Lepisosteus oculatus: one gene and its partner. The protein of the gene in region 1 interacts with the protein of each later gene in a biochemical or structural test. Links are inferred from orthologs where the notes say so. Each region holds a gene or a part of one and is shown in the gene's direction. Other genes may lie near its edges.

Evidence for each region.
Region 2: of the proteins of src (region 1) and tamalin, one has a biochemical effect on the other in vitro, tested with the Homo sapiens proteins (2 studies listed by BioGRID and IntAct, with this or other methods). The link is inferred for Lepisosteus oculatus from reciprocal best matches to the Homo sapiens genes SRC and TAMALIN.

Annotation. Positions count from the first base shown.
Region 1 is NC_090711.1:12,029,289-12,039,778, forward strand, and holds the start of src (proto-oncogene tyrosine-protein kinase Src), read left to right. Parts: upstream 1-5,809; 5' UTR 5,810-6,364; intron 6,365-10,490. Other genes in the region: protein MANBAL, read left to right, coding at 1,291-1,398. UniProt on the Homo sapiens protein: Non-receptor protein tyrosine kinase which is activated following engagement of many different classes of cellular receptors including immune response receptors, integrins and other adhesion receptors, receptor protein tyrosine kinases, G protein-coupled receptors as well as cytokine receptors.
Region 2 is NC_090696.1:15,727,531-15,736,858, reverse strand, and holds the start of tamalin (general receptor for phosphoinositides 1-associated scaffold protein), read left to right. Parts: upstream 1-4,794; 5' UTR 4,795-5,432; coding exon 5,433-5,639; intron 5,640-9,328. Other genes in the region: dgkaa (diacylglycerol kinase, alpha a), read left to right, coding at 276-374. UniProt on the Homo sapiens protein: Plays a role in intracellular trafficking and contributes to the macromolecular organization of group 1 metabotropic glutamate receptors (mGluRs) at synapses.

The DNA of each region.
Region 1 (10,490 bases):
ATTGCTTGATGTTCATTGTATCTTGAGGGAAAGTGCTTTTGTTTCTCCCGAGGACTGGGCTGAAACTGCATTGTTAGAGATTACACACAAAACCCACTAGAGGGCAGTATTTAAGAAGGATCAAATATGAAGTAAATAGTGTTTTAACAGTTATGTTGGTAATAGATCAAATAATAAGATTAATCCTTAAAATTAAGGATCTTAATTAGTAAAAGGAAAATGCCTTGAGTACCCTCCCCCCCCAATAAACCGATTGTTTTTGCACATAATGTTATGCTCACATTGACCATATGATGTACGGCCAACTCCTTTTGAAATGAATTTCCAGATTGTGTTTTCATGTTTTGTATGATGAAGGTCAGTGAAGCTGTTTGAATATATATACTTCCCAAAGGCATCATGAGAGGAATATGTGAGAGTCTGAGAGTTGGTATCTTTTGCAAGGCGGGATTGTGCTTGCTTTTATAACCCGCAGCCAGCGTTCGAGTCCCCATCGGTTCGACATCCCCAAAGTCAAGAGTTTCTCTGGCATCATGTTGTTACACATCCAGAATGGGAGGTATCGGTCAACGGTACAGGTTCTGTTTGTTTTATGGCATTGGTGCATTTTGCACTTTGAGGATGCCAGAGAATCACTTTCAACAATATAGCTGAGCCATATTATGATTTTTGCTAATAATAATCTAATGGTCGCAGTTGTGTACAGATTTTTCCCTCAATTATCATCACTGTAAACATTCACAGAGCAAAGGAATTGCTTCACCTGCTGTTGGATGTCTGATGTTTAACATTTTTTCCTTTTACGCTCCCTTTAAGCCTTGTTTGAACACATTTAAATGAGCCCATAATTAACAACTGTAGTTTTGTGTGTTTATGTATTGTTTATAAAGGTGAAGATAATAAACCCTTCACACTTTTTGTATTCAAGATTATCTGGTTAAAAGTGAAGTGTAAAACATGCGTATCATATCGTATACTGGTGTGCTGTTATGAGCCCGTCGCTAGCCCATCTCCCAGCTCATGAAAGGAGGCAGGAGTGCAAGCCCATCTGCTGATGTGTATTACCTACGAACGTCCTGAAACACCAGAGCCAAGACCGTTGTTTGAAACTTAAACACGCTAGCAGATCTTATTGTTCTTTTGAGCTGTCTACCACCTGCACTGAAAACCTGAAAAAGTGAAGGTTGACCTTCAGAGGTTCTAAGAGAAGCTCGTATGGGTTACAGATGGCTTTTCTACCCCTTCATGTCCGTGGTCTGTCCTTCAATGCCTGTGCTTTTGCCCCTGCAGGACGCTGAGCCCCATGATGCGCGCAGTGCGGAGCAGAGCAAGAAACCCAAAGGACCCGCCCCCCAGCTGCGACAGAAGCTGAAGAAGGAGAGCAAGAAAAAGAGATGACCTGGCGCAGGGGCTGTGCCCGCGTGTGAGATCGCAGTTAGGAGGAGCATCGGAAGTGGCTGTGTCAGGCCAAGGAGACAGATTTGTGACAGGGCGGCTGAGCGATCTCAAATAGATAAAAAGTGAAATCCTTTTCATGCACAGGGGGTTAATATTGAGGCCAAGGGCAGGGTGGAGTTGGACACCTCTGTTTCCTCCGGCTGTGAAGGGGGTGGTCTCCAGAAAGCCCACAGTCTCTGTGGGGGAGGAGCTGAGTCCTAGGTGTCATGTTTTGCCTGTGCTCTGCAGCACCTCACTTAGGGCTTTGGCTTGCAGTGTGAATGGAAATTCCAGAGGTAAAGAATGAGCTGAAGCACACAAGGAAAGGGGTGAAGTGGAGTGCTTCTGTGAAATTCCAAGAATCTGCAGAAGGCAGCCCTTCAGAGCTCAGAATGAAACCTTTCGCTGGCCTGTGCACGCCGTTTTCACTTTTTATCACGTGAACCTGTTACAGACCTGTTTCAGACTTTCTCATGCTACTAAAGCCAATCGTCATCTGTTTACCACTGCATAGCAGCCTTGACTCTGACCAGCTGAAACTTCCTGGTATTGACATACCACATGCTCTCACTAACTGTGGCCTACGTACGTGGGCATTGTTTTTTCGTTGTTGGCTTCAGTAGTCTTTTCAAACCAAATATTTGGACCCTTTGTTTGAACAGTCCATTCCCAAGCATTCTGGACATGGAAGAGACTTGAAGCAAAATCATTTCCTTCTGAAAGCTTTTGTGTGCTTCCCTGGGTTTAGTACGTTGTGCTTGGGCAGGCCTTTCACATAATATATTTTTAATTGGGTGCTTTAAATATAGTGGCCCCAACCAGCATTTTCACTACACCTGTCCATATATAGGAGATGCATGAGAATGATAACTGAATATTGCATACTTAGGAATGCAGCGTCCAAGCACAAGTAATCTTGCGACTCAAAATAGTACGCAAAGTGCACGTACGGTTTTTCTAATAGGTATTTTTACATTTGGTTGACAAATACCCATTGGAGCCACTACTTGTCCTTGTATTATCATTTACAAGTAATGTTTAGGTACAGTACTATCTACACTTGACCTAAACTCTGTGAAATCTCCAGACAATGCATTTTAAGCTCTTGAACACTGGTGTAAAACCTCTTTGAAAAGGTTTGGAACAGTTTATTTTACTACCATTCTTGTTGTGTGCACAGCTGTAAGAAAATCACTGTGTTTAACGTGGGCTTTGTTTATGCTCTCCTCAACTTAGTCTTGTTTGTTACATTTCTCCTTCAGAATGTGTCACGGCATTGTTTTTTTACATATTGCAAAACACTTTTTGCTCTGTCTGGGGCTTGATGTTTTTTGTGTGCCGGCATTTACTCCCTTTTTAAAAAAAATGTATGTAATATTAACATCCGCCATTGCATGCCTTGTTCCTAGAGTGAATCTCTTCACATTTTGATTTCCTTTTTTTTTCTTGTGGCATCATGTCTGTGCACAAAAGCGCTAAAGAAACTGAGGCAAGACTGAACTCGCTTCCTTAGTGTCTGATGTGCGGTACAAGCTGAGATGTTTTCCTGTAAATGTATGGAACACTAAGGAAATAAATTCCGCCTTGAGAATTTTTCTACCCATTTTTGTGTTTCTCCTTATTAAAGTCTGGCAAAGCTTTGTTTTGTGCTTTTAGACTCGTGCAGGTTTTTTCACTTTTATTTTGAGAGCCAAACAATGTAGCCGGGAAGGGTGAGCAAAAATTAATGTCATTGCAGATCTGGAACTGTATCCGAGAGGAGCTCAGTTTGAAAAAGCGAAGGCACACAGTTCCGATGGGGGTTGGTATCTTGCAGCAGCGTTCAACTTCTGGTTTCTAGAGCATGAGTCTGTGTAATTGTAATTTCACATGGATTTAGAATCTGTCCTGTCTGCATGCGGGGAGGAAGCCTGGTTTGAGACTGCTCAAATGCCACTGCACAAACAATTTATTGCCATGCTTTTTCACAGTCCAGTGTCACTCTTGACAATATGTAGCTCCAAGTGATTTAAGAACATTCTTTCCTATGTGAACGTGACATTCACATCCATAGCTTCAAAAAAAAAAACACCCTGTCAAACAGAAGGGGGATTCTGGAGTAGTTGGTATTTTTAAACTACATGTCTCAACTTGGAAATCTTAAAATATGGAAGCTAAACATTAACATGAGGTCCACAGTTATATACCATGTGCGGATTCTGCTTACAAAATTTTAGAAAGGTGGATACACCAGGTAACTTGTAGGTGTTCGTATACATAGAGTATACATGCGTAACTAATTTACATTGTCAGTTTCTCTAAGGTTTATTTACAGGGCCACTGATCTTTTGGAATTTGCATCATCATCCCCTTTGGAATGGAAAAGGCCTTTTCTGTTAAAATACTTCCGTTGTCATTTGTCTAAATGGACATGATGTTATTACTGTGTTAATAGAGTCTGTTGGTTATGGAACTCATCTAGACTAGAATGTCTTTATACTAGAATAATGCAAATGAACTATTACTAACATAATCTAACCCCCATATGAGAAATGATAATAAATCTCTGCACAGTTCTGTAATTTATGGAAAGGCTGAATAAAACTTGCACAGTACAAGTATTCACCTTTAGAGTGATGCTTGTTTAGGTACAATTTAGATCAAACATATTACTGCCAGAAGAGAGGAACTGTATTATCTATGTAATAAAATGGTCCTGTTAATCAGTCTGTGCATTATCAATGCATAGGCAGGTGTTAAAGGTTACTGAAGCGTGTTTACTTTGGCTCAGTTTTGTGCCCTTTGAACAAATAGCATTTTTATGGTGTTACATTCCAATCTTCAAAAGTGGTCACAGTCAGGAGTGGACCAGTGGTTCGCATTGCTGTCTCACAGTGCTGGGGTCCTGGGTTCACATGGATTTCCTCCAGGTGTTCCGGTTTCCTCTCACCGTCCAAAGACATGCCAGCCGATTGATTGGCTTCTATAAAACCTGGCCCTGGTGTGTGTGCCCTGAGAACGACTAGCACGTTCCTTCCAGGAATTATGCTGCCTCGTGCCCACTGCTTGCCGGATTTGGCTCCAGCTCCCAGCGTGCCCCGGTGCTGGATAAGAAGATGGCTGGATGGCTGCTGTCACCTCCATGAGCAGAGTCATCAGGAAATAAGGGTTACAAACAAGGGGAGGCCATGTGGCCCATTCTGTTACTCTTGTGTTTTTTTCTGTATCAAAGTATCTTATCCAGTTGCCTGAAAGGAGTGATGGTATCACCATTGACAAGGTGGCTGGGTATCATACCTCCAACTGAGTGGTCAGTTCCAAAGCAGTCATTTTCATTACTGCCCTAAACAACTGGGCCACAATCATACATGTATTGTACATAAGTAACTGTGGATAAAGGTATCTATTAAGGAATGATCTAAGTCTTATACATTTCTCAATGGCAAGATATTTCTTAATGGAAGGCTGATCCTGAGACCCAGCCCGCTGTACATCAGGTAATCTTTTGTTCATACTCTGCTGACTCATTCTGTCATTCCTGATTTGGGATAAAACCTACAGGAGTGCCACACCTCTCCTTCCTATTTCATTTTGACATTCACTTACACTGAAGCACTGTTACACAGTAACACTGAACCTGGGCCCAGAACGCTTCCTCCTCTCTGTTCTAAAAATGAACACATAAATTCATTCAGTTGGCTTAACTTTGCATTCTCTTCACTCTGGAAACATTTTTTGGACATTTGGTGAGTGTATCAGAATCAGATTTTTATTGTTGTTGTATGAAGTCCACAGATTCACAGCAGGAACTTTGGTATTTAACAGAACCTTACTGCTGATTAATTACTGTCTCATTCTTCCTAAAAATACATTTTGTGCCTGTGTGTATGGCAAAGCTATGTGCGCAGTACTCTGTTTGTCCAGAAATGGTCAATTACAGGGCCAGCGGCTCAGATTGCTTTGGAATGTATAAAATCCACTAGCCACGATCCATCCAAGTTCCGTCAGTGCTCCTGATTTATTTTTATGTTCAGTCTCTCGCCTACAACTGTACAGTCCAAACCCCTGAAAGCCAGTCACCCACAATCCTGTGTCATCAGAAACACGAACTTCGAAAAATCTGTCTTTTTTTTTTTCTGGCAGCGCTATAGTGTCATGCACAGGCGTTCCCCCAGCCTATATATAACGTGTCACATCAAGGTGTTCATATATGGGCACCAGCAAGGCCATCCTTTCTGGGAAGCAGCGTTCCCCTTTGGTGTCCACTAGGCGGGGTTGTTTTATATGTAAATTCCCAAACCCCCTCCTTCTAAAATCCATTGGCTTCTTCCGATTCTTAAAAGATCGTACGCAGGCAGCAGTGGGATAGCCGCCCAGCCACACCAGCTGGGAGCCTTTTACGCCGATTCCGTAGCGCCCTTCGGCCGATCCTACCTCCCCTTTCGCTCCCAGCCTTGCGAATGGTCTCGCTGTCTGCCTCCTTCAGCCAAGGTCTGTTTTTCACCATATGTGATTAGGCAGCGCACTGCGCTGCTGCGCAAAAGATTGATCTCCCGTAATAAACTATTTTCTTTTTTTTCCCATTTTCCCCCAGATCCATGTGTTTATTAGGCAAGGCATTCGGGAGGTGGATATCTCCTTGCCTTTTGTAATCTCTTGGATTTTATAAAAGTTGAATTCAGCACTCAAAATCGGTGCTGTTTTTTTTTTTCCCCAGGCAATCCCCGCAATGACCTCGCTGCAGCCCTCCGATCTCTTGAATGGGATTTCAGATCACTCCTAGCATTTCGTTTCTGCTCTTAGCCCTGCGTGCCGTATCGGTTGTCTTTTTGTGTGTGTGTGTGTTTCTTTGGATGACGGAGTAACAGTAACACCTCGGACTTCATTCAAAAGGAACACGTCGCATTTGAGACCAAGGCTACCAAAAGGATATAAAGAACCCGAATAGGTGAGTAACTTATTCTCTTCTGTCTTGCCTAAACCGATCCGGATACTTGGCATTTAGAACAGGATCAATGACAGTCTGTGGTAGCCCTGCATTACTGAAAAAGGCAGAAAGAGATACAGTGTATAGTTTTCTCTTCAGCGTGAGAAATCATCTTGTAAACCAAATGTTAATCTGGGACTAGCCGACCACGTCTCAGTGGGTTTCTCATTGATTCTCATTTTCCCAAGTCGTTTTTAAAAATTCTTATTATATTGCTGTCAATGTCTGAAGCAGATAACAATTCCCTACGGTTTATGATTCTCTTAACAGAGAGGCATCCGCTGAAGGACCGGTTAGTATGTGTCAGTTAAGCCTATAATGTATATTTCTGTAGTTTCTTAGGCTTTTCTAGCCTAAAGTAAACGACATCGATCAAGCCTGTAAATAAAATGATGACTACAACGCAAATGGCTAAATTACCTTTGCTGTTTTCTGTTATTTGTCCAGTTTGCGTGCGACCTAAACGATAGTTTTTTGTTTGTTTTTAGGTGCTTGTTATTTTAAAATTAAAGTTGACTTAAGAGACGAACAGTTAAATTACTGCGTCCTTTTATGGTTTTTCACACCCATAACATTTCTTTTTAAAGCAAGATACATACGGGTATGACTCACCTTGTTGGAATCTGTCTTGTCCATTAAGTTAGCATAAACGTAATGCAAATGTCGGTAACTATGTTTAAGGGAAAGAATTGCAACAATCCCTTTGTTCTTAACACCTTAGATAACACAAAAGTGAGCTGGGTCAGAATGATCTCTTTAAAAGAAATGTAAGACGGCATGACTTGAATTTGTTTCCATGATGTTTGGCCAGCGTTTGCTCCAATGAAAAACATCAAATTCGTCATAAACACATCAGGACAGTTGTCAAAATGTGTAGTTCGAACGAGTAATTTTTCATTCTTTTTGCCCTTAGCATAGTTAAGGGTTGTGTTTTTAGAATTCATGACACACCAGCTGTAGTTTTCTTTTTTGCAAGACAATACACAGGTTTTGACATTTATCCTTGCTCATCACGTGTGTTGAGAAATACTGCAGTCTGGATTTCTGTCGGGACACTGAGTGGAGTGAGACGTACTGTAGACACCCGAGATCATTGTTTGAAATTATTTCGAGAGAATGTGGCCGTAGCAGCAAACTGTCTCAGAAGTCATTTCAAAGTCTCCAGTCACAGCAGAAGTAGGAAACCTCTAGGACTACAGTACTGTGATCTATATTCCGTGATCGTTGAGTCCGCTATAGAATTCCTGTACCGTGATAAAACACATATTTTTTTCAGGAATTCCTAAAAGCATTGACTTTCTAGTGAGTACTGAAGAATAGTATACATATACTGTATATTAATTTTAATGCTGTCTCTGACTTATTTCACACCCAATAAATACTCCTTGAAATGTTATACTTTTCTAGGGTTTTTATTATGCTTTCTGGCAGTTCCATCAAAACCAATTTCTAAAGCAGGAACTTAACAGGCAGTGTGCAACATTAATTTGCTTCCCTCTAAACTAGTTGCAAGCGCTTATTTGTGTGTGGGGATTGGATAATTAATGCCAACCCTGAGATTTGTTTTGAAGCAACTTCACAAAATTTCACAAGTGCGGTGTTACAACATTTTAGTAGGAAACGTACACACGCAGGGCTGATACGGATCTAAGCAAAACCTGCAACAGTGTCAGGTGTGTTGTGTAGCAGGATATGTATCCAGTTGGAAAATATTGTAAAGTAACCATCTAGTATAAAATTCCATTAAAAGTCTAATAATCCTTTACATTTTAGTATTTTTCCATTCATGCAAGATGACTGGACTGGAAGTAGATTTGAGCTCCTGATAAAGTAACAGCATCTGCTATGTGATGATGCCCACCAGAAGCTTTTTCTACCTACTGTATTTGTCACAAAAGACTAATTAGAGCATCACGTTATGTAAACACTGGAGCACATACTGTACAACCCTCTGCATTTGCCTTTTATCTTATTATAAAGTTTCTCAGTTTCCCTTGTTTGGGTTATTAATATTGCATCTGGCCTGTTTTCATTCAGGTTTTTACCTTCATTACTGTGATACATGACTGGAGGCCATGGCATTCATTAAATCTTGAGTTGCATTGTGGTTGGTAATAAAGTACAGGTACACCCTATTAATCATACAGAATGATAAAGGCCTTTCATTGGTTAAACATTGTCACATGATCATGGCACTGAAGCTATAAAAGGGCCTGCATATTGAAGACGTTTTTAAACTGTATAAATCATTGCTTGCCACTATATTGTAGATAACTGCAGTTTCTTGCCATAGCTGCCAAATGACATGTATGCCAAATAGTATTTGTGGAATTCATAACATAGCATGATGTATAACTCTGTGTCCGTCTGCCTAATACTTTCTGGTTTTGTTTTAACTTCAAGTTGAAATATTTTTCTTCACCCAAAAGACAGGCTGATATATTATAAGCAGTGTCCATGTGTCCCAAGTAATGTGGTCCACTACCAGGACCTTAAACCTAATACTCACGCCAAGAGTACTGTCAAGCGACTTGCAGGAAGTGTCGTAGTTGCATAGAATTTTTAGAGTACTGTAGGTTGGACTGTAGTGTACAAATACTTCTTCTTTTTCCATCATGCATCTTGTGCAAGCAAAAATTACCCCTAAATGTTTTTAAATGATTTTGTTAGAAGAGGTATGCATATTTTCTACCCAGCCGAAAAGGGACTTTTGTCTGCAATGAATATGCTGCAACAAAGTGTTTTCTGATCATTTAAGCCTTGTGTATGACGCCAATACTCCTCTTTTCATACCTTCTTTATACAGGATAATTCATATTGTATATGTTGTTCCAAGTATTCCAAATGTTCGTCAGAACATTAGCCATTATTTTCCCTTCGATTGAGAATAGTACTCCCCAGAATGTGGCAGAAATTAGTGGAAATTCTGTATCGCCTCCAGCCACGTTTTTATTTATAACCTTAATTGCTATACAGGATAAGAAATGACGGCAATGACTTCACTCCAAATGCCATTTTGTAGGTGTGAGAACCATTTAGCCCCCTGAGTTCGACATGTTAGCAAAAAGGAGCATGATAATACTGGAGAGTAATTCTGAAAAGTGGGCCGTGAATTTGGAAAGCTGGTGCAAAGCCAGAAATGATATCATTGTAAATCCCTCTATTCAGAATAAAGATACTGTTTGTTCCTAAGATTAATAACACCGGAAGTCTGTTTCCCATGAAACAGTTGACTTGAGTAGAAGGCTTGATCGTCCATCCATTCATTCGTTTTCTAACCAATTTATCCAGTTCAGGGTCATGGGGGAGCTGGAGCCTATCCCGGTAAGCATCAGTACTATTCAGGGCTCCCAAGGTGTCTGAAATTGTCAAGCCTAGGAAGACATATCCCTGTTGAATTTATTGCCTTTGCAGAGCAAGGGGATCTTTCTCTAAAGTGCATGGAATTCCCCTTGCTTACTTCAGATTGTCAGAAATAGTGAAAGGGATTAAAGTTTGGAGTGTCTTCCCACTTAAAAATGAAAAAAAAAATACTTGGGGGTTTCCTTCTGACTGCAGCTTGTCACTTGATCATCACACTCTGTCTCAGTTTGTCTACCGGCACAGACGCTTGGCTGAGCTCAGGCGGGTGCCAGCCAGATGACCAAACACTCATTCACACATTTTGTCCTTTTTCAGTTCTGCTTGCTTGTACTTTTCCACACTTGACAGAATGAAACTCTGATACAGAATGTGACTAACATACTGTACCACTCCCTGGTTTTCTAGACTAGGAGTTTACTAACCTCCTGCAACTTTGGTTTACTGAATCTGTAATTCACCAGCAACAAGTAACAAGATCTGTAGATGCTTTAATCTTTATTTGCCTGTTTATACAGGCAGAAATCATTTTGAACTTTGGAAACGTGGGTGCGATATTAAGTTGTTCCATTTTCTTTGCTTTGCTTGTATGTTGTAAAGAGTAACAGAAGACTACTTTTGAATGGAACTAAGGAAGGTTTTTCTGCAGATGGCATTTAAATAGGAGCATCAGTTTAACATGGCGTTTAACAGAAGTAACTTGCATTCCTTACACAGAAGGATACTG
Region 2 (9,328 bases), on another chromosome or scaffold:
TTACTTGTGCTTTTTTTATCGGACCCGTGTGCAACAGCCTTTTCCATCACTGGGTGAAATGAAGAAGCAGAGCCGAGGGCCAGCGTCCTCACCCGCTCTGCAGTGGGAAAGTGGCACCTCTTAACACCCGTTCTCGAGTGGTCAGATAACCCCTAGCCAAGGACTCATTTTTTTTATCCCAAGTGAAGAACGAAGAACCGGTCGTGACGATCCGTCCGTGTTTTTGGCTTACGGGTGCCCGTTCTGACATGACCTGCCTGGGCTTCTTTCCCCAGATCCACATCACCCACAAGAACCAGGCCAATATGCTGATGGCACCTCCTCCTCGCTCCTCCAGTTTCTTCCACCTGAAGAAGAGCGCCCCCGAGAGTTAACCCCTGGGACTGCGACAGGCACGGCCTCCCGTCCCCCCACCCCTGTCCCACGTCATCAGGGGGGCTCGGCGAGAGAGACGGACAGACGGCACACACCCCTTTACTCTCTTTTTTTCCCCAGAAATTAAGCCCCCAGTCACATCATGGCATGATGGCTGTTTCCACTCTGATCAGCGTAGAGGGGAAAACCTCCTCAAAGACAGATCCCAACATTTCAAACAGAGAAAAGGGTCAGCCACGTATTCATTGTGCTAACCCTCCGACTTGCAGCTCCTCAATGCCACTAACCCGGCCACTTGCAAGCGCCCTTTATTCCAGGTTTTGATTTCATATAGTTCACCCAGACTGTGCAAAAGTATTCCCGAAGTATTTCCAAACAGAATTCCGGACCCTACCTTGTAGTGCACAGGTGAAATTCCTACATGAGCTGTAGTCGGCATTCAATGGGATTGTTGGATCATGACGGCACGCGGACTGGATTCGGGATTGGGAATTTCCAGGACACTTTGGTTTCATCCTCTTTTCTTGCTTTTATCTCCAGTTGGTGTTACAGTGATGCTGTCCTGTCAGTGGCCTTTTCTTGTGTTTTCCAGTTGTTTCTGAAATAATTGAAATGCATTGTCTGCTATTCTTGTACTTACAGAGAGACGGTGCAGGCAAGGGTGGATGTGATATTTATAGTGGTTGTAGAGTCAGACAGGTGTCTTCCCAGTGCACACGCTGCTCATAGCAGACCTCTTATTTAATACTGGTGCGACAGATAAAAACATTCCGTCAGACCCTGGTCTGGTTGTCGGTAGTCAAAACAAAACTGGTACTACCAAAGGTACAGCATGCTATTTCTTAGACACTGGCAGATCAGTGTAAAGTTTAACTTTCGACATGACTTTTTTCCCGTTTACAGCTTGACAGCGCCCCCCTGTGGCTGGCTGGGGTCCTGCATACCTGCAAAAGTGAGAATTGTGTCAATCCTGCATCCTGCTCCTTGTTGTTTGTGCTGTATGGCTGTAGTGTGAAAAAAGACAATGCATGTTTTGGAGGAAGTGTGCATGGTTCCTTTTATTTAATGTAGGTGGTAGCAGAGAGATCTGAACCGATTAATGAATGCCAGCACCAAATTGCTGTAATGCAAGGAGATAATTTAATCAGTCCCTCAGACTTTTTTTGTCTGAAATGTAAAAGGTAAATAGACTATCCTGCAGCTGGGTGGTGAGGCTTAGTTGCACTTTTACTTCAGAGGTTGCTGTGCCTTAAGACTTTGGTCTTGTGCAACATGGAAAAACGTCCCCTTGTCGTTTCCGGATTACAGTGATTATCAAGTCTTAAATATTCAGTCATTCATGAACTTTTCAGCTTTGAGTGACGCTCAATTGCTTCCCCTAGCATCCAGTTGTTTAAAATCTTTTTAGAAGGTGTTTTTTTGTGGAACATTTACTGGGCAGAACAAGAAAAGGTCATGAGGAAATAGTTTAGCTTTTACTCATTGGACTCAAACAGTCTCTGTACTGTTCTATAGCTGCTCTGTGAACTGAATCCAGATTTGTGCTACAGTAGTCAGCGAATTTATTAGAACACCCTGTTGCTTTGGTAGTTTTGATGTGCTGAGCATGTAAAATCAAACCACTGTGTATTAAAATCTTCAAAAAACTATCATAACGGTCTGTGTTTGATGGCTTTAATTAGCTGCTGAATTCAATTTAAACCAGAACAAGAAGAGGAAAAGATAAAATGAAAGGGGTTGTCTAGAAATTTGGAGGTCGGTCGTACAGTAAAGAACCAACAGCAGGCAGAATTACATCTCGCTGTGTGATCCGAGAAGCTGTTTGGAACCACGATTCTGTGTTCCGAGAAGATCCTTATGTAGACAATTCTGAGAAATGTCAAACTTTGCTTGAGGTTCTAAATTAGTTCCTTACAAGATGTGTTTGCAAAACTGAATGACTAGTTTTTTTTCTGTAGTGAATGAATACTTACTTGTGTGTGTTCTGAAGCTCAATAAAAGACATTTACTGAGGTGTCACAGTATATGTTTTGCTTTTGCTCTTGGCTCTGCAGTGACAGTCTAGCCAATGCACATGGTTTATGTTATTACAGGTTCCTGGGAATCATGTGATATCAACATCTTAATAGACGTGCAGCAACTGTAAGTGTGGTTTGTAGACCACACTTTATTGTGTTTGCTAATGTATACTTTTCAAACGCTGAAGTCCCCAGACTCAGCTCAGCCTGGTTTGCATTTTAGAGACGATGTTCTGTGGAGCCATTCTTATAGTGTCATAATAAATCAAATACAGAATCTGTGTCAGTTTGCTGCCTGGCTGGCTCTTCTGTCTCGTCTCTGATTTCTATGTTGGTAAAGATAATACAGCGGGCATCTCTGGCCCCTGGAGGCTAATACTGCTGGTGGACTTCAGGTCACTGGTTGTATAGGACGTTGGGTCGCTGGTCAGTGGTGCTGGTGGACATCGGATCACTGGTCACTGGTGCTGGTGGATGTCGGGTCACTGGTCTGGCGGACATCAGGTCACAGATGCTGGTGGACCAGACTGGGCTACTGATATTAGTGACCTGACTAGCACCAGCAGCCATATCGCCCTGCAGCTCATAACTGGCAGCCCACTGAAGCTCTGCAGGTGTGAGCCTCCCTCGATGGGAGGCCACCTGGGAGAAACTAAGGTTGCTGCTGGTGTAGCGGAGCTAGTTTGGATACGGTGACGTCATCGCCCTCCCTGGGCGTAGCAGGGACCTCAGCTGCCTGGGCTGAGGGAGGTCTCCTTTAGCTCACACGGCTGGTTCCCTGTTGCGTTACGCCAGAGACCCGGGTTCGAGCCCCAGGTGTTGCGGGATGAAACGGGTGGCAGAGGGCGGTCATGGTGGTTAGTGTTCTAGGATTTGGTGTCCACTCCTCTGGGCTCTGAGCCGGAGGGTCGTACACTCATCTTGCTCCTATCTGGGGTGGGCTGACTGGTCTCTTCAGACCATCTTCTCTGTCAAGACTACAAGAGGTCAGTTCCATCACCGTGTCAGTGCAGGACTGGTCACCCTGCAGACACACTGATCCTGCAGGACCAGGACTGGACACCCTGCAGACACACTGACCCTGCAGGACCAGGACTGGACACCCTGCAGACACACTGCCCTGCAGGACAAGGACTGGACACCCTGCAGACACACTGACCCTGCAGGACAAGGACTGGACACCTGCAGACACACTGATCCTGCAGGACCAGGATGGACACCCTGCAGACACATTGACCCTGCAGGACCAGGACTGGACACCCTGCAGACACACTGACCCTGCAGGACAAGGACTGGACACCAAGCAGACACACTGACCCCCCAGGACCAGGGCTGGACACCAAGCAGACACACTGACCCTGCAGGACAAGGACTGGACACCAAGCAGACATACTGACCCCCCAGGACCAGGACTGGACACCCTGCAGACACACTGACTGTGCAGACACACTGACCATCCAGGACCAGGAAAGGTTTTTTTAAAAAGTCAAGCAGGTATACATCATGTGTAATACTTCTGTAACAGCTCTGAGCGCAGCGTAACAGTACAACGGTCTTTTCTTAAAGACAGACACAAAATACAGCCCAAATAGAGTACTTAACTTATGACCCCGTAGGTCCTGTGGTTGGAAAACACGAGCATAATAAACCGGCTTAAAGCTGTCAAAGATGGCGTTGGTGTGGCATGCCTAAAAAAGGGTTTTCTTTAACTCTCTCTGCTTGGCGCAGTCAGTTAACGCACATTACCCGGTCCGATTGGTGTGGTGCGAGATATAAAATAACCTACATACATGTGCAAACAATCTCAGAAGACGAATGAGACTACTCAGAGAAAGGAGGAGAGACGGGGGGGCTCCGTCTGGCTGTTAGCTCAAGTGTCTGAGGTTTTATAACTCGGAGTAATCAAACTCCAGTCTATAATGTAAATGAAAACCGTGTGTTAAAAATTGAACAACGCTCAGAGCGCAACTTTTGTCTTTACCGACTACATACAGTAGGGGGAGCCCGTGTACTGCATTTCATCACCCCCTCCCTGTGAACATCTGGCAACTCGGAGGGACACATGCAGTTGTTTTTATTCAATTTCTGGGGAGTTCTGTTGTTTTAAAGGGAATGTGCAACTCATCCCAAGGGTCGCGCGGGTACCTGTATTTATCAAACTTTTTTTTTAATCAAGCAACAAATGGCAATATTACAAAGGCATGGCTTTGCAGCGACATCTGCGATAGTAATTCTGACCATGACGAAATTATATAGATAAGTACGTCTATGGCGCTTTGTCTGTAAACGGAACAACAGAAACGTTCGCTTAAGAAAATGTCGTCAGCATTATTTTTTACTGCTGCGCTCTAGAAGAACGGCTTTACAGCGGTGTGGAGCGAAACCCCGGAGCTCTTCGGGAACCCAGCACGTCTCGATGCCAAGTCACTCGTCTCTGCTCCAGCCCCTCTCTTTGTGCACCTCTGTGATCACAAGGCAGGACTCCAATTAGAAGCGAATTCCGACATCGACGGCGATATTAAGATCGTGTTGCCCCGTCGCTTTTGAAATGTTTTTAAGCGTCTAACTCATTCTTGAAAGATGTTTCAACACAAATCTGTCACAGCAGTAACGCGTTTCATCGTAGCCAATTCGGATCTACTCTTTATCGAGTCTCTCTGCAGCACCGCAGAGTCAACGGAATACATCACTCGTTTTAAATATTAGTTCCTCAGAAAATGCTGTAATTCGCAGGAGACTGCGTTCTGGGCGGTGTGTTTTTTTTTTTAGCATGGTCTGAGTTTAAAAGTCCGAAAACAAAAGCTTCGTCTTTCATTGAAAAAGAGGAACCTCGGAGATACGTCCCTCCTCACCCCGCCCATAACAGACTGCGCACAAAAAGTTTCTCCCGGGGCTGCGCTTTCAAAAGCAGCTGTAGAGGCAGCTAGGAACCGGGTCCACGGCGCGGCTCATACTGACAGAGGACTCGTGTTTTCTGAGCTACGCGAACTTTCCCCGCCAGGAAAGAGCTTAGTGTTATTTGCTAACCGGGAGTCCAACATGAAGAACATGACTTTCAGGAGGCTAAAGAAAGTCAACTCCAGCGACCCAGGGCGCTTGCCTTCGCACCACGACAGCGGCGACGTCTACCAGTCATCCGCCTCGGACACCTACGGAACGGTGGAAAAGTGCAAAAACGCTTCGGACGTTTACAATTACAAGACGCTGGCTTACTCCGGAGGAACACTGCCCAGGAATTTTAAAAAGGTACATATTTCTGTGGGTTTACCTCACCTGGAGAGCCTCAGCACACCGAGTCCCGTCTTACTGCACTCGGATATTAAGTTTCCCAGATCGAAGCTGGGATTCGATGGCTTTTGTGTTTTTGTTCCATATTCGAGTATTGTTTTTCCTATTTTAAAATCGTAAACCGGTTTGTTTGAAAATAAATTGGTTTCTAACCAGTACTGAAGACGCTGTCGGTGCGTTTTGGTAAACACGCAATGTTAAAAAAAATAAACTTGTGAAGAGATCTAGAGATTTAGACCGTGGCTACCTGGGAGCTGTTTTTATTATTAATTTGGGGTGGTAGAACATTTTGTCTAAAGATACAGTTTTATTCTTACATTAGGGCACCTGACGGAAATTCGCTCAGATAATAAGTGCATCATCAGCGACATAATCTACCTCTTGTTCTGTTCAAGACGAGTTTCGCCTACGGTTTCTTTTGGAAAGGGACTTCTGTCATTCTTGGGTTGAGGTACCGGAGAGCGTTGCTGTGTTCTATAAAACTGAACCCGAATCTGACTTCGTGGGCTTCACAAGTCTCCGTTGTCGGCAGCTCACCCCCCATCACACACACACACTGAGTACATATGCTAACGAGAGTGCCTGGAGATAATTACCCAGGGAGGCAGCCGGCCCGTGAAGAGGTGCGAGATCATTTGAAGCTCTGTGGTTGTGAAATGTAAGGAAAGAGAAAGGGCAGATCCGCCGCGTTCTGACTCAGACACCTGGGCACTGTTTGGAAAGTCTACTTCAGCGCACAGATATTTGCATGCTGCGCTCCAGTTCATGAACTCTGACGCACGGCTTCGCTTTGCGAGCCTTGTGTTTTGAATGTAGAAATGTTTCATCCCGAACGCGACAAGACCAGTTACTGATGTCATTGTAGGAAATCATGCGACAAAACCGCGTGGTAGGGCTTCCTAACAAAGGGAACTACGGAGTGACTGTCGTGAGCCTTTTTGGATCAAGACGTCAGCTAATTGTGTTGGAAAGGCGTTGATGCGCGTCTGTGCGTGGCGATGCCTGCGGAATCTAGCACCTCTTGGAGAATGTGGGCGATTTCCCACCCGCGTTTACAAGATGTGGGGAACTACGTGTGCGTGTTATCACCTTGCTAAGCGATGCTCAGCGGGAATCCGAACAAGACTGCATTTGTAAAGGAGTGTCTGGCGTCTGTTAGCCCTCGGACACCAGCTGATCCAGCAGTTGGGGTAATTTGCATTGCTAAGGGTAGCCGGCAGCGCGATTACTGGCGCAGCGAAGTGAACTTGAAGTCGTTCAGAGTAATGAATACACTGGGGCTGTTTTTGGTGGACCAGTCACAGAAAAGACGATTACTTAGCAGCAACGAGGATGAAAACATTACGACAGCAGGAAAATGCCTAGTTATACAAATCGCACCTGGAAAAATAATTTCAGATAATAAAGCAAAACATTCTGGTTGTTTTTAAAAAAAAAAAAATAAACAGCCTCCGTTCTCAAGATAAAGCAATCGAGTTTTCTATCCGCTTTGACTGCACAAATAAACGCACGTGTCGGTTTTAATTAGAGTGCTCAATTAACAGCGAGGGGCGGGGCTTTAAGGACGGCCTTACAGCTGCGGAAAGCCGAGGCGCTGTAGCTTATCCGAAAGATGTTCGGGACTCTTTTCTTTTAACACAAAAAGCCCCTAAAACTTGTGGCGCCCGACCCCCCCTCCTCCCTCCTCCATCCGCCCTGCTATCAAGACCACCCACTCCGTCCTGCCACAGAGCGCAGACCCCCCCCCTTGTTTACCGCAAAATTTTCAGCACTCTGGTCGTGGGCTTGTTTGATTTCTCAAACAGTTCTATATATTGTGAAGCGCTCGGCGAAACAACGAAAGGACTATGTGCGTCACCGAGGGCTCTTCGTGAGCAGCCGGTGCTTTCTGACAGTGAAGTCCTGTGGAGTTTGGCTTCGCACGCCGAACTCCGGACCCATTTCTTTCCAGATAGGTGACCTTTTCACACACACGAGACAAGTTTGGAAGATTCTTCTAACCCTCCCCCCGATAATATACAGACCAAGATAACCTTAAAGAAACGCACCTCATGTGAAATACAGCCAGATACCACTGAAAAACGTGGAAAGGGTAACTGTCAACCAGTTATTGTTGAGACCAAGAAAAGAGGGCAGATATCCCTCCCCATGAGATTAATTAGTGCATAGCATTTAGCGCTAGGCAGGAACTTCTTCCTTGTGTTTCTTGAAATCGGTTGTGTTACCACAGACTTGGGGCTGTCTCGGGATGCTGGATTAAAAAAGTCGGATCTCTTCTTGGATGTTTTGACTGTGTCTGATCTGCCAGCATGGAGTTACCCAGGCTAGAGCTCTGCAGGGTGTTCTCCTACAGTCCAGTTCGAGGCCTCATGAGGTCAATCCAAAGAGACTTGGTTTGAGGTGGCGGGGAAGCAGATCAACGTGACGCAGGCTGCAGGGCCGAACGCTTGACCGTTCAGCTTCAGAGTAGTGTGCGACTCTAATTCCCCCCCCCCGAACCTATCTCAATGGCTCTCTGTTGAAAGGGGGAGGGTGGTTAATGGCACTGTAACAAAAAACTGCATCAGAAAACCAAGCAAAGTGTGAAGTGTTGTGCATGAGGACTCGGATCCGGAATAATCAGTCCAACATGTGAGAGGAGACTGCATGATATGTGTGAATGTCTGCGGTTTGGCATTCTTAAAAAGAACGTTTTTAATTTTTTTTTTCTCTAAAGCACTATGAGAGACCATTTTTAAAGGAGCCATATAAATAGTAAAATTTATTGATTATTTAAAAATGGTGTCCTGGAAGAGTGTGTGGCTGTGGCAGGCCAGGATCAATCATTCCTGCTTCCTCGTTGTCCCAAGTCCAGTCGGAATCAGGGGTCGCTTTGGGCACAGAGAGCCACCAGGTGCAGCTTTTTGCTAAGTGAATAAACTGCCCCCACCCTCCCCCTCCCTCTCTCCCACCTCCCCCACGCACACGCACCGGCGGAGTGGGTCCTGGTACAAAAACACATTGTGTGATGGGCTCCGCCCCCGCACGAGACTCCCCTGGGACCCCCAGGAGTCGGGGGGCTATGAACAGAGTCATTCAAAAGCCCCCGGAAAATTTCTGTTGGTGTCCGGCGTGGTGGCTCGTACAGGAAGCCAGTATTTCTTCAGGCCCGTTTAACAGCATACCGGCACTCCGAGGAGCAGTCCTGTTTTTTTTTTTTTCAATGCATGGCAGAGATCGAACAGAAGCGGACTGGCTGTTAAGAGCCCGCGGAAGGGAACTGTGTTTGTACAGCAGGGAGGGCGGGTGGGGAGAGCCACCTCATTTTTTATGATTTGGGGGATTTTTATGCGCAGACTGGGATCGGTGGTCTCCTGCAGGGGTCCGCACAATGTCAGCGTTGTCAGGCCTTTCGGGCGTTGAGGCTCCCTGCAAAGTCCTGGGAGGGTGTCCAAAATCTTCCAAAACGCGGGACAGGTCGCAAAGTCATCGGGATTTGAAATTGGACCCACCCCGAAACAGGGGACTTGAACAGACGCTGAAATAGGCTGATTTGTTTTTTTGGGGGTGGGGGGGAGTTCTCTTTTTGGGGGATGCTCTGGGGTATTAAAAGTTGCTCTGGCTCTGCCGTCTTGGGGCTGTGCAGAGGCAGGCGGCGTGGCTGGAAG